2 linked regions of the Arabidopsis thaliana genome follow. The protein of the gene in region 1 interacts with the protein of each later gene in a pairwise test. Each region holds a gene or a part of one and is shown in the gene's direction. Other genes may lie near its edges.

Region 1 (7,324 bases):
AGGCGTATTTTGATGGGGTTTTGTCGAAAGCAGAGGTGTTGACACATCAAATGTGGGCAAGTGATGGCATCAACTAGTTTAAAAGATTTTGTAAAATGTATGTACCGTTATTACTAGAAACAACTCCTGTTGTATCAATTTAGCAAAACGGCTGAGAAATTGTAATTGATGTTACCGTATTTGCGCTCCATTTTTGCATTTCCTGCTCATATCGAGGATTGGGGTTTATGTTAGTTCTGTCACTTCTCTGCTTTCAGAATGTTTTTGTTTTCTGTAGTGGATTTTAACTATTTTCATCACTTTTTGTATTGATTCTAAACATGTATCCACATAAAAACAGTAATATACAAAAATGATACTTCCTCAAACTTTTTATAATCTAAATCTAACAACTAGCTAGTAACCCAACTAACTTCATACAATTAATTTGAGAAACTACAAAGACTAGACTATACATATGTTATTTAACAACTTGAAACTGTGTTATTACTACCTGATTTTTTTCTATTCTACAGCCATTTGATATGCTGCAATCTTAACATATCAAGTCTCACGTTGTTGGACACAACATACTATCACAAGTAAGACACGAAGTAAAACCAACCGGCAACCGCATTACATAACATAACCGCATACCATTTGAACGGTACAACACTGCCGTTAGTACAAGCCATACATAGTTATATCACACACATATAAAACACAAAAAACCTAAACGCGCTACATTAGACCCTAGTTAAAATCCACGCTGCCAAACACGGAACCTACAAGCAGGTTACTTATTAGATGATATATAACAGACTGTTGCAGCGGACACTAGTAGCTCGTAACTACTATCACTTGTTGGTGAACTTTGACTCATCGATCTCAATCCCTTCTTCCTCCGCACGCTCTCCACCAGATTTTTCCATCGTACTGAGTCCTCCTTTACGTCCCATCTCCTTATAACCCTCGTGCCCTAGCTGCTCCTTCCTCGCCTCTCCTCCTTTGTGTCCCATCTCCTGATAACCCTCGTGCCCTAGCTGCTCCTTCCTCGCCTCTCCACCTTTGTGACCCATCTCCTGATAACCCTCGTGCCCTAACTGCTCCTTCCTCGCCTCTCCACCTTTGTGACCGATCTCCTGATAACCTTCATGTCCTAGCTGCTCCTTCCTCGTCTGCCCTCCCTTGCTCCTTCCTAACAAGTGTACATACATGCATTCCATGAAACATGGAGATCATAGAGTAAACTTTAGGTTCGTAATAAGTAGATTAATCTTATCTTAAGATATTAAGATCTAATGTTTCTAGCCTTATAAAACCATTACTTACGAACTAAAGAAAATAAAAAGAGTGTGGAAAAGTTGTAATTTACGGCAATACCTTCAGCAAGATGCTCTTGAGCTTCGAGGCTGTGGCCACCGGTGCCACCTGGGACGACGGTCTCTCCTTGCTTCGCCTTCTCATCAAGCTCTTCTCTGCTCAGTTGCTTTGACGCCATTTTTTGAAGAAAAAAACACGAACGATATGTAATTAAGTAAGTTGCTTTTAATTTGGATCTATGTTCCGACACAGATACGGACGACGTAATTATTCCTATAAATAGAAACGTTTGTGTTCCAAAGGAAACAAAAGGAGAGAAAAAGTGAAGTGCTACGTGGAAGAGAAGACGCGGCGAGACTAGAAATAATGGGCTTTACGGAGATGACACGTTGATGCTTACTCAGTCAACTTGCTACAGTTATTAACGAGCTGCTTGACACGACTCCGATTAATCTTAATCCATTTTCTGTTTCCCCCAAGAAATCAAGATAATTACCCACATTTGGGATTTTTTATAAAACTGTTTTCCGTGTTAGGTCTTTTCAATATCAGTTAGATAGTACTATTATTTATCTATTTGAAATCTAAGTGCAATATTTCGGATAAATATGTTTTAAAGTTAAAAGTTTTATATTTATTCACATCATAAGAAAAATATAGGTGTTATTAGAAGAAGAGATTTATAAATCGATCACACATAATAACTGGGAAGAGAAGGTAGCTTCGAGGATTAGTTGGTTTACTTGTCGACAAAGTCATATCTACCATGTAATAATTAGGTCTTTTTCAAGTTTTGAGTTTGGAGACATTTATTTGAGTTTGACTTTGGTCTTATTATATGCTTGGGCTATTGTACACGTTTGACTCATGCTGATTAGAGTATGTATAGTTAAATATAATAATTAAAATGTTAGAATCTGGTGTGGATTAGACTTTCGCGACATTGTTGAAAATTTGTGAATGCATCTATCTAAAAGTTGGTTTAGTGGAGTTTCTATGTGCACAACTGAAGTACATCACTATATTTGGACAATATTGAATTATATTTGAATTTATTGTCTTGAAGAATAATTTGCAACATTACATACCAAATGTTGGCTCTCTTACGGAGAGCGTATAAGCGCCACTTGACGTGGGCTTATATGGGCCCGGTTAAGGGTAAATGTTTAGTGGCCACAATTCTGAAACAGCTTCCCTTCTTCGGCCCATACTGGAGTACAAAAGTAACGCAATTAAGAAAAAGCGTTACAGGATTAATCCAAAACGGCATCGTTAGAAGAAGAGAGCACACATAGCGAAAACCCTAGTACCTTTATTTGAGCCAACACTTTCATTTCTCTCCTTCTCCACCAGTTTTCCCCCAATCGCTCCTCCTTAAACCCTAACATTTTTGCTTCCCCTGTTTCGATTCTCGAGAGTTATCAGAGATGAGTTCGGACGATGAGAGAGACGAGAAGGAGCTGAGTCTTACCTCTCCTGAAGTCGTCACCAAGTACAAGAGCGCCGCTGAGATCGTTAACAGTAATACACCCTCTCTTTCTTCCTTTCTTGTTTTAAGTCCGATTTGGATTTAGGGTTTTGAAGGTGTAGCTTTATCGAGTATTGATTTCTGTTGGGTTTTCAATTGCAGAGGCGTTACAGGTTGTTTTAGCTGAATGCAAACCAAAAGCTAAGATTGTTGATATCTGTGAGAAAGGAGACTCTTTTATTAAAGAGTGAGTATATCTCAATTTGTTCTTAATGTAGATTCGACCTTGGATTACTCTTAGATATTTATGTGTTTGTTCTTTCTTCTGTTTTTGTATTAAAGGCAAACAGCAAGCATGTACAAGAATTCTAAGAAGAAGATTGAGAGAGGTGTTGCGTTCCCTACATGCATTTCTGTGAACAACACTGTTGGTCATTTTTCACCGCTTGCTAGTGATGAGTCTGTGTTGGAAGATGGTGACATGGTTAAAATGTAAGTTGTCTTCAAGTAATACCTGTTTTTAGATGTTTCTGTATGATTCACCTGTGTTATTTCTGATGTTGTTTTGCGTTTCTCAATTGCAGCGATATGGGATGTCATATTGATGGGTTCATTGCCCTTGTTGGTCACACACATGTTCTTCAAGAAGGGCCTCTTAGTGGGCGTAAGGCTGATGTTATCGCTGCCGCAAATACTGCAGCTGATGTTGCTCTAAGGCTCGTACGTCCTGGAAAAAAGGTATCATCAGTTTTACTCTTACATTAAACTTGAAACTATAGGCTTTTGGTACTATAACTGCCTCTTGAATGATTGTCAAGGTTTTACAAAACCCAGATGATGAACACTTAATAAATGGCTATGGATTATTATCCATATGATGCTTTTTTGTCATAGTTACTCTGATGGGATTTTTCTTATTCTGATTTTTAGTCTGATCCCTCGTTGGATTTACTATGAGATGTTGGAACTTTGTCTAAGGTTTTCCTCTCTTGGTCTTGCACGATGCTTTTTTTTTTTAGCGGACTTCAAATGTAAATTGTTTTGGGAAAAGATTTCTGGATGAAGACCGTAATTGTTATGGATTCGCATCCAAATGAGGCCGTAGTTACTCTGATGTGGGAAAGTTCTTTAAAATAAAGTTTCTTGCTACGAGTTTGTAGTTTCTTGTTTAGTACTACAACATATTGCAATCAAGACATTGATATTCTGTTTTTCTTATCGCAGAACACTGATGTAACTGAAGCTATTCAGAAGGTAGCTGCAGCTTATGACTGCAAAATTGTTGAAGGTGTTCTTTCCCACCAGCTGAAACAGCATGTGATAGATGGAAACAAGGTTGTGCTTAGTGTATCCAGCCCTGAAACAACTGTTGACGAAGTGGAATTTGAAGAGAATGAAGTCTATGCAATAGATATTGTGGCAAGTACTGGTGATGGCAAGGTAATTTCTTTTGTTTATCGCATCCCGATCACTATTGGTGAACCTTTGTCTATTGCCATTGTTCTCACAATCTTTGACTTTGCAGCCAAAGCTATTAGACGAGAAGCAAACAACTATTTACAAGAAAGATGAAAGTGTTAACTATCAGTTGAAGATGAAGGCCTCCAGATTCATAATCAGCGAAATTAAACAGAACTTCCCCCGTATGCCATTCACTGCAAGGTGTCTTTTGTACCTTCTGAAGCATTTTATATTCCTTAAACTATTATCTCACTTGCTAACGTTACCTGAGAGTATTATCAATACAGGTCACTGGAGGAGAAAAGGGCACGGCTTGGACTTGTGGAGTGTGTGAACCATGGTCATTTGCAACCATATCCTGTTCTTTACGAGAAGCCTGGTAAGGATGATGAAAGGGTTTTGAATCTATAAACCTCTTTTATCTGAATCTTGATATCAAGGCTCATGTCGTTTTGGTTTTCTACCAGGGGATTTTGTTGCTCAGATTAAGTTCACAGTTTTGCTGATGCCAAATGGATCAGATAGGATCACTTCACATACACTTCAGGAACTTCCTAAAAAGACCATCGAAGACCCTGAGATCAAAGGGTGGTTAGCTTTGGGCATCAAGAAGAAGAAAGGTGGTGGAAAGAAGAAGAAAGGTAAGAACTTAAAATAAATTTCCAGACTTTTACCTTATATGACGTGATCCACATGTTGATTAAAAAGGTTCAATTTGGTGTTTTGCAGCCCAAAAGGCGGGAGAGAAAGGAGAGGCTTCAACAGAGGCTGAGCCAATGGACGCAAGTAGTAATGCTCAAGAATGAGTAGGAAGATTTGTCTTTGTTTCTTTTAAAGAATTTTTGAAACTTGAGGTACCTCTTTCGTTGTATGTTTGGGTTTCAAGAGAGTCTCTTCTTAAACAAAAAAAAACAAACAATAGTTTACCACCTTTGTGCATATTTTTGCACAAAGCACTTTTCATCATCATTTCTTTGCTTGTCCTAATCTTATCTCATTCTCTAATCAAAAATACTTATCTGGTTTCAGGCTATAACAATAACTCTGTTTAGAAACACTTGTTACCAACAAACTACTCTTTGAATGTGTTTACGTGGTAAGGATTTGATCCCACAGAAGAGAAATATTTGTGACAGAAGAAAAAAACTCAGCTCTTCAATAATCGAAGCTTATACAGATTTTTGGATTGGTTGATTTTGAGATTGTAACGAATAGTAATCAGAATTTCACTTAAGAAATTGTGATTGAACCCTCTAAACCACAGAGAGGGTTCTTGACGTGGTCCATAGTTCTTCAGTGGGGCGGCTTGTGGCTTCTTTTTCATTTTTCCAGAAAACCCCATAAACCTCTCGCTCTCGGGAATTTGATTGATTCCCACGAGGAAAAATCAATCTTCCCGGAAAATGGCAGCTAGGTTATTGTTCCGTCGAAGTTCTCAAATCCTCCGATCAATTCAACGAAATCCTCAAATCTCATCGTCATTCGAATCACCACCTTGCCCGATTTTTCACTCATTGACCACCGCCTCACCAGATCCATCGCGATTATCATCCTTAACCTTCCTCCGATCTCTCTCCATCGCTCGTCGCGGTCCAACACGTCCTAAGAAAATCGATATCGGAGCCAAAGCGCGTCAGATGCAGAATCGCCGTTTATGGACCTACGCGCTAACCTTCAGCTGCATCGCCGGATTCGTAGTTATCGTCCTTAACCAATTTCAGGATCAGCTTGTCTTCTACCTAACGCCATCAGACGCTATGGAGAAATTCGCAGAGAATCCAACAAAGAACAAATTCAGACTCGGTGGTTTGGTTCTAGAAGGTAGCGTTGCGCAGCCGGCGGCGTCACAGGAGATGGAGTTTGTGATCACTGATCTGATCACTGATATTTTGGTTAGGTATAAAGGATCTTTGCCGGATCTGTTTAGGGAAGGTCATTCAGTTGTGGTTGAAGGATTCATTAAGCCGTATACAGATGAAGTAAGGAAGGAAGTTTCTACAAAACCTATTTCGAAGAAAGCTAGGAACCTCGATTGTTTCTTCTCGGCGACTGAAGTTTTGGCTAAGCATGATGAGAAGTATATGCCACAGGAAGTTGCGGCGGCGATTGAGAAGAATAAGAAAATTATTGAAGCGGCGGCGACTGAACAAGCTGCTGAAGTTGCGGCTTCTTAGATTGGTATAAACTTCATTCTTTTTAAGTTAATCAAAATTTTCCCCAAGTTCGAGCTTTTGGTGAGTATTGTTCATCTTATAAGGTTATATTTGATTATAGTTTCTGGAAAAGAGTAGGAAGATTGGAATGTTATATTCCTGGAAAACAGAGATTTGATTTTTGAGTCTATTTGAGAATTAAGTGGAGAAATGTGATACACTATACAATAGCTTTGTTTGATTCCACAAAGCTATAAGCTAATCTACTTTCTTGTTGTGTTGATCAAATAAAGAACACTTTGACGAGGGATCAAATATGCTGCTTGATTCATTGTGTTGTTGGATGTTTTGTTTGTTGTTGATGTGCACACAGATTAGAGAAGCTATGTTTTGTTGCTGCACACAGATTAGATTGATCTAGTGAATCTTATTAGCTTCATCAGGTCGTGGGTATATAATTGTAAACGTATCACCAAAGTTGTAGCTTGTGTGACCTTATTCTTATCATGACTAGGTACTATAGCCAAAAGAGTTGAACATACAGGTCTTTCAGAGCTTCCTCTTAGTTGTTCTGGAGGTTCCAAGCTCTTTCTTTGTTGTTTTATAAATATGGGTTGAGCTTGTTGACAATCTTGAAGATGGTCATGCATTCCTTTTATGCATCTTATGTTTCAACTAGGCAATTCTGGCCCTGGAGATTTCAAGTTTGTACTTTCTGAGTCGATTAGGTGCCTAGTTTTTGCCTCTAGAATCATGGCATTGGCTTCTGTTTTGGCACTTCTCTTAGGCTTGTTGGTTGATAACCAACTACTAGTCTACTAATGTAGCTGTAGTTTGAAGTGTTCCGCAGTTACGCTATTGCTTTTGCTTTTTTTAAGTGCATCTTTATATATGCATCAGTCTCTCATTGTATAGCAAATTTATCGTGGGTGGTATATGA
Region 2 (7,156 bases), on another chromosome or scaffold:
AGTTGCTTCTCTCAACTTTCTCGCAAAACCCTAAAAGCTGAGCCGCGTCGAGAGCATTTTATATCTTCAATCATCTTACGCAGGCTGTTGTAGCAGCAGTGTCTATCGGAGACGATGAAGGTGGCTCCATCTTTTTCTTCTCATCAATTCTGTTCTCGTTTATCTCTTTGTTATTTCGTTTGATTCAATCGATTTTGGTTTGTGTCGCAGTTCAACGTCGCCAATCCGACCACCGGGTGTCAAAAGAAACTCGAGATCGATGACGATCAAAAACTGTAAGATCTTTGCTTTAAATCACATTTTCTTCATGGATTTGTTTACATTTGGCTTATTGAGTGTAGAGTGTGAACAATCTGCTATGAAGTTCGTAAAATTCTTTGAATCCAAACCTTTGAATCGTAGGATAGTTACTATTTCACACTGCTAGGATCTGTTTATAGCTGATGCATTACTGGAATCTATGATGTTTACTGCGTTGGTCTGATATATAACCAGTTCTGAATCTGAAAATCAACATTGTCGATTTTGGTAAAGATATTGAGTTTCATTTCTGTTGTTTTGATGCAGCCGCGCCTTTTTCGACAAGAGGCTCTCTCAGGAAGTTAGCGGAGATGCTCTAGGCGAGGTGAAATTTTTTCTCCTGGTTCAGTGTTTTTTTCTGATGTCTTGTGAGTTCAGTATACTTAACAGAATTGTGTGTGTTTTGAGCTATTTGCAGGAATTCAAGGGATACGTATTCAAGATCATGGGAGGATGTGACAAGCAAGGTTTCCCAATGAAACAAGGAGTTCTCACTCCAGGGCGTGTCCGTCTTTTGCTTCACCGAGGTACTAGATTCCACCCCATTGATAAAATTATACAGCTTCTCTTTTTTTCATTAATCTTCTGTGTTTTTTATTTATGTGATCTGGTTATTGTGTTTAGGTACTCCTTGTTTTAGAGGACACGGAAGGAGGACTGGAGAGAGGAGACGAAAGTCTGTCCGTGGTTGCATTGTGAGCCCTGACCTGTCTGTTCTTAACTTGGTCATTGTGAAGAAGGGTGTAAGTGATCTTCCCGGGCTTACCGACACTGAGAAGCCAAGAATGAGAGGTCCCAAGAGGGCATCAAAGATCCGCAAGTTGTTTAACCTTGGAAAAGAGGATGATGTGAGGAAGTACGTTAACACTTACCGCCGTACCTTCACAAACAAGAAGGGTAAGAAAATTAGATTCACTTAAAGAGATAATTGAAAACTGTTTATACGATTGATGATTTACTAATATATGAGGCTTCCATGTGCAGGCAAGAAGGTTAGCAAGGCTCCTAAGATCCAGAGGCTTGTGACTCCATTGACCCTCCAGAGGAAGAGAGCTAGAATTGCTGACAAGAAGAAGAGAATCGCCAAGGCTAACTCTGATGCAGCTGATTACCAGAAGCTTCTTGCCTCCAGACTAAAGGAGCAGCGTGATCGCCGTAGTGAAAGTTTGGCCAAGAAGAGGTCTAGACTCTCTTCTGCTCCTGCTAAACCCGTTGCTGCTTAAACTGCCTCAAGATTAAGAAATTTCTTTCTCTCTAGTTTGTTTCTGGTCGTATTTAAGTTGCTCCACAGACATGAGAACGCCATTTTGAACACTATTTTTGGTTTCTGTTTTGTGTCAACTTTTCAAGCCTTTTATTATATCAAAGTTTTGAACCTCTTAGTAGTACGTTTGTTATATTTAGTTCTTATTTATATGCCCGTTTGTTGATAGTAAATGACCAGATGTCTTCATTATTAGATAAACTGATGACCTACCTTTAAAGTGTTTTTTCCAAAAAGTGTAATGTTTTGAACCAAAACTCAATCTCGATTAAACTCTTTTAATATGGAGACCCGTCGCTGAAGACTGACTCCTTTCTTCAAGCTGGTGTTGATCGGAGACTATGGAGTCGGAGAATCGCTTCTACTGTCTCCTTATGCCATCTTCGCCGAAATCCTCTGTTTTACAACAGTGGTAAGTAAAAAACTAAAAAGGTTGGAAGAAGACGAAGAACTTTGCTTAACTGCAATTAAAATTTATTTATTTAACAAATGGCTGTAGATATGTTTTGGGGAAAAGTCATTCTTATCAATACCTTTGGAATAATTTGGATCAAACTGTATCATATTTTTGTGGATAATTTGTCTCTGATATAAATTAATCTGATCCATATTATGCAGTATTATTTCACAGACCTCTTAATTTGGTCCATAAATTTAATTTGATCCATGATATAATTTGATAAATTATTCACAAGCCTGTTTCTTCCATAATGTTTGGGGCCTATGATGGGCCGAATTGAATTTTGAAGAAAAATCAAAACCTTCAGATTCAGTTAGAGTGTTATGATAATGGGCTCTTGTAAGTTTGTAACCGAGGCCCAATACGAGACGACGTCGTTGTTTGCAATCGACCTATCTGGATCGGTAGGAAAAGTGTGCAAGTCGTTTTCATTCACCAAAGCGAAGCTTTATTCGTTTGCTTGAGCTCCGAAGAGTGGAAACAAAAATGGAGGAAGAAGAGCACGAGGTTTACGGTGGAGAAATCCCTGAAGTCGGCGATACGGATGTTCCCGATCCGGATATCGATATGTCTGCAGCCGATGAGGACGCCGTTACGGTCTACTTCTGCTTCGTTCGATTTTGATTTTGTTGTATATCGTGTGTATACATCTGTTTGATTTTTGGTGTTTTGATTTCATGGAATCAGGAGCTTGCTGAGATGAAGAGGAGATTAAAGGAGATGGAGGAAGAAGCTGCTGCGCTACGAGAGATGCAAGCAAAAGTCGAAAAAGAAATGGGAGCTACTCAAGGTTTTGTGACTCTTTCGTTTTTTTTTTGAATTCGTTTGCTCGAGACTATCTTTGAATTTGATATACTAGGAGGAATCTGTTGATTGTGTAGATTACTTTTAGGAAATTGAACTTCTGTTTCTTGCTTAACAATTTGTTTCAGATCCTGCTAGTATGGCTGCAAATCAAGAAGGAAAGGAGGAGGTGGATGCTCGATCAGTTTATGTTGGCAATGTAAGATAGCTTATTTTCTACTTCATGGTATCTCTTCTGTGCTTGAATCATTGTTTCATCTAAACGGCTTTGATCTGTTTGCCAATCTTAGTGTGGATTAGCTTAGGCTGACTATTTTGTTAACTTAAATTTCATCTTTGATAAAAGAACTGCTTGCAATTGTGTCTTAGCTTTGTTCTTTATCCCTTGAGATTACTGTTAGAATCTGTATCAAGAGGCTTTCTCTAAATTTAATGTTGTGAAGTAGGTTCTTTATTGTTTCTAGTTGAAGAGTTTGACCTCTATGTCCTATATAATCGCAGGGTTGTTCTCATAAATGAAGTTCTTAATAGCTCTGGGTTCTCAACTAAGTTTTGTGACTGTTTTGCTAGTTTCCTTGTTGTAGTGTTAAAATCATTCTTCCCGTGCAATTTGATGATAAAAAAGCTATAAAAAAAATGTTGAAAGTAAAAAGAAAAGAGAAGGAAAAAAATTTGAAAAAAAAAAAAAAAGATATAGCAGAAAAATGTGGAGAAAAATATTGCATGAGCTTGAAAAAAAAAAGAAGGATTTCTTGAGAGGAAAAAGGGAGTCTGAGTGAGTTGGGTGGGATTAGAAAGCAAGGTTTCTGTTATCCTTGAGGAGATGGTCTCTGAACTCTGAAGAGCTGGATCAAGATGCCAAGATGCTGGATGCTTTCTAAACAAGACCCAAAGCTCCGCAGGGAGGATACTTGGAGCTAATACAGGTTTGGTTGTTTGCGGATTTCGCGAGAGGCTGCAGTTTGATGCTGGCCTTTTATCATGTATTTTTGAACTCACGCTCATAAAATGAAGACTTTCATAGCGTTTATGTACCATACATAACTTAGGTCTAATGTTAGACATGGAAAATTGCTTTAGAACACACAAGTTTGTCTCTTGGCTTCCCTTAGTGGGGTGGTTAACTTATCTATCTGTTACGTTCTCAGTAAGTCATGGTTTTAGTTGTAATAAGAATGCTTGTGTTGTACTAAGACCTCATTATCCACCCTGCAGGTCGACTATGCCTGTACACCTGAAGAAGTGCAACTACATTTCCAAACATGCGGAACAGTCAACCGGGTAACCATTCTAATGGACAAGTTTGGACAGCCAAAGGGATTTGCTTATGTGGAGTTTGTAGAAGTGGAAGCCGTGCAAGAAGCTCTGCAGCTGAATGAATCAGAGCTTCATGGTCGTCAACTGAAGGTATCTTCTCGTACTAAGACCAATACTGAAGGAAATGGACAGTTCATTGATCTCAACTCTTCTCTTTTGGTTTTCATTTCAGGTCTCGCCTAAGCGAACCAATGTTCCTGGAATGAAACAGTATCATCCTGGGCGTTTCAACCCTTCAATGGGATACCGCTTTCGCAGACCCTTTGTGCCTCCGTATTTTTATTCCCCATATGGATACGGGTAAGTTTAAACTCTGCATATTTACCATCAGTTTATCACAAATGGCTTTCTCTTCTTCGTCTCACGAGACTCGGCAATGCCTCGTGCAGGAAGGCTCCTAGGTTCAGAAGGCCAATGCGGTACATGCCTTACCAATAGAAACCGTACCGGAATAAGAAGAACTATGACAGAGATGATGCCGAGGTCGTCCCTCCATTTCGAGCTTTATATATGAATATGACTTTGCTCGCACCTGAACTTAATTTTGAATCTGTCATGTACGGATGAGATTATAAGCTTTTGTTTCTTTAGATTATGATTATATTTGGTCGATATTACTTTCAGTTTATATCTTTGTTAGTACTTTCTTTCATCCAAAGGGGGCTAAATAAGTATACCAACAAGAAGATTGATGTTACGTAGAGAAGCCTTTGTAAGAAGCTATTATGTTTCCGCAAAAAATCCCTTAGTCAGAAGCTAACCTTTACTAATCAATGATGTATGGTATAATCAAATCCCTTATTCCTTATAGTATTTGTTATCTTTTCGGTTTGGAGAATCGATGATTACAGAGTAAAAAAAAGAATAATGTTTTTTCTTCTCGTCATTAGTACTTTTGATGTATGGTATAATCAAAACATTAAATTTATGAAAATTTGTAATGTGATGTTGATATTGATAAAACATAGTAATTCATAACCCAGTGAGTAAACTAATCAGAAACTAGAATGCTTGGACAAATAACGACCAAAAAAGAATGCTTGGACAAATAACCAATCATTCAAGTCTACAAAATAGAAATTAAACTCGGGAAATAACAAACAACAGTTGCACAGCGATTAGATGTGTAAGGCAAATCATAAGATTTGGTATCTGGATCATGTGTTAGGAATGCATCCCCGTGTGTACTATCATAAAACAATAACTTGTCCTTGTCCAAAACTGCTAGTGGGGTGAATGCGAATATGGCACTAAAGAACAAAGAAGAGGTGATAATGAGGTCTATGGAATATATTTGCTTCCATGTCTTGTGGTCTGAATCATCCAACGACCATATGACTTGGTTGGGCCACTTTTGCTCGGATACGCACAAACGATCACCGAGGTTGCACATGACGATATAATATTCATCAGAGACATTGAGAAAGGGAGCTTTAGAGATGACTTGGAACGTTTCGGAGTGAAGATCCAAAGACAAAACCATGGTTTCGCCCTCGTGTGACAAGGCAGTGAACCAGTGAAGTGACCCGTCTACATAAACAGGATCTTGGGTGTGAAGAATCAGATGAGGGGACGCGGGGAAAACGTACCTCCAAGCGTTGGTGGCAAAATCGAAAACTTCACAAGTAGTAGGCTTGTCATTTAGGTCTAACTCAGCGGAATTATATAACCAAACTGGCTTGTAAGTGCCACTGATTTTGTCTTTGCCAAATCCAGGAGTAGGGCATGCGACTTTAAAGCACTCGTGTCTCTCACCCTTGTCGGCAGCGACTAGTTGATAGTTGCATTTAGGGAAAGTTCGATGCCATCGAGTGGTGGGATTGACGACAATACTCGGCAGTTCATAGAAACTAAAGAGGCATATCAGACCATCACAGCTAGTATTGCAAACGAAGTACAACTTGTCCTCCCAAGGAGTAGGGATCTGAACAGAAGCTGCAGATGACTCCACCAAAAAAGTTCTCAGAGCTTCAAAGCTGCTTATGCTTGGATCTTGTTGACGAGCACAAGGATCATATAAGGACACCAAAAGCACATGTGGATCTCCTGATGATTGGCTAAGATGGTGGATCAACTGTCTTTCTTGGAAACTAGGGGATTGGATTGTAGACATCCATTGCTTCGATACAGACTTGAACTTGAGGAGGGTTTTCACATCAAGCCTCACCATTATATGATACTCTATCACATCGTGTGGTAACAATTCTTCCATACTTGTCTCTGAATCTCTCAATGTTATAGATTGAAGACAAGAGCCTCCGTATGCTTTATTTATAAACCAAACCTATCACCCTAGTCAGAGTCCGAGAAAAATAAAAGGGTAGATCAGTAAATCTAGAAACTGTTTTCTTTTTTTTTTTGATTTTATGAATTTGAGAAATCTTAAAATTTTAAACGGATTTCATCAAATCAGTATGATAAAAGTAAAATTTTCAAAAGGAAAAAGAAAAATAAATCTAATTCTACTAAACATTCGATTCAAACTTATCTTGATCTAATTATATTATTCATTTAATTTGAACTTGTTCCTATCTTATTTAATTACTCATTCGATTTAAACTTATCTTCGATCTAATCTATTATTCATTCGATCTGAATTTGTTCCGATCTAATTCTATTACAATTATGTCTTCTAACATCGTACGCTTAAATTTCTGTTTTTCATATTTGTATTTTTTTTCCCTATTTTTTCTTATTTTATAACAATTGCAAGTGCAATTAATACCACTAGTAATTATTTATATTTATTTTAATCTCATTTGACGTTCCAACATTAAATAGTACTACCATCCTTTTCGGTGTTCTTCAAGGCCTAGGGGTGGCGGTATATAACTTGTTCGCATGATATTACCGAGATGTCCCCACGGACATCTTTTCACCTCGTCGCCGAAGAGAATGGGCGTGTCATGGCATGGGCTGACATGGATTCTCCTAGGCCGTTTGGGTGGCGGTATAGTCGTCTTGCGCACGAAATACCGAGATGTCCCCATGGGCGACACTCACACCTCGCT

The links.
Region 2: the proteins of ATG2 (region 1) and AT5G10350 interact in a protein complementation assay, tested with the Arabidopsis thaliana proteins (one study listed by BioGRID).

What each region holds. Positions count from the first base shown.
Region 1 is NC_003074.8:19,208,974-19,216,297, reverse strand, and holds ATG2 (metallopeptidase M24 family protein), read left to right. Parts: upstream 1-2,588; 5' UTR 2,589-2,729; coding exon 2,730-2,823; intron 2,824-2,932; coding exon 2,933-3,017; intron 3,018-3,112; coding exon 3,113-3,262; intron 3,263-3,354; coding exon 3,355-3,508; intron 3,509-3,599; exon of another isoform or gene 3,600-3,678; intron 3,679-3,994; coding exon 3,995-4,210; intron 4,211-4,295; coding exon 4,296-4,432; intron 4,433-4,518; coding exon 4,519-4,610; intron 4,611-4,671; coding exon 4,672-4,872; intron 4,873-4,960; coding exon 4,961-5,037; 3' UTR 5,038-5,271; downstream 5,272-7,324. Other genes in the region: EM1 (Stress induced protein), read right to left, coding at 837-1,177, 1,363-1,480; G1 (transmembrane protein G1P-related 1), read left to right, coding at 5,635-6,405. UniProt on the Arabidopsis thaliana protein: Binds RNA. Associates with 28S, 18S and 5.8S mature rRNAs, several rRNA precursors and probably U3 small nucleolar RNA. May be involved in regulation of intermediate and late steps of rRNA processing. May be involved in ribosome assembly.
Region 2 is NC_003076.8:3,253,101-3,260,256, reverse strand, and holds AT5G10350 (RNA-binding (RRM/RBD/RNP motifs) family protein), read left to right. Parts: upstream 1-2,445; 5' UTR 2,446-2,510; coding exon 2,511-2,621; intron 2,622-2,711; coding exon 2,712-2,814; intron 2,815-2,956; coding exon 2,957-3,027; exon of another isoform or gene 3,028-4,043; coding exon 4,044-4,235; intron 4,236-4,317; coding exon 4,318-4,445; coding exon of another isoform or gene 4,446-4,449; exon of another isoform or gene 4,450-4,534; coding exon 4,535-4,583; 3' UTR 4,584-5,021; downstream 5,022-7,156. Other genes in the region: EMB3010 (Ribosomal protein S6e), read left to right, coding at 115-120, 211-275, 568-625, 719-827, 925-1,197, 1,285-1,523; AT5G10340 (F-box family protein), read right to left, coding at 5,212-6,410, 6,997-7,135. UniProt on the Arabidopsis thaliana protein: Involved in the 3'-end formation of mRNA precursors (pre-mRNA) by the addition of a poly(A) tail of 200-250 nt to the upstream cleavage product.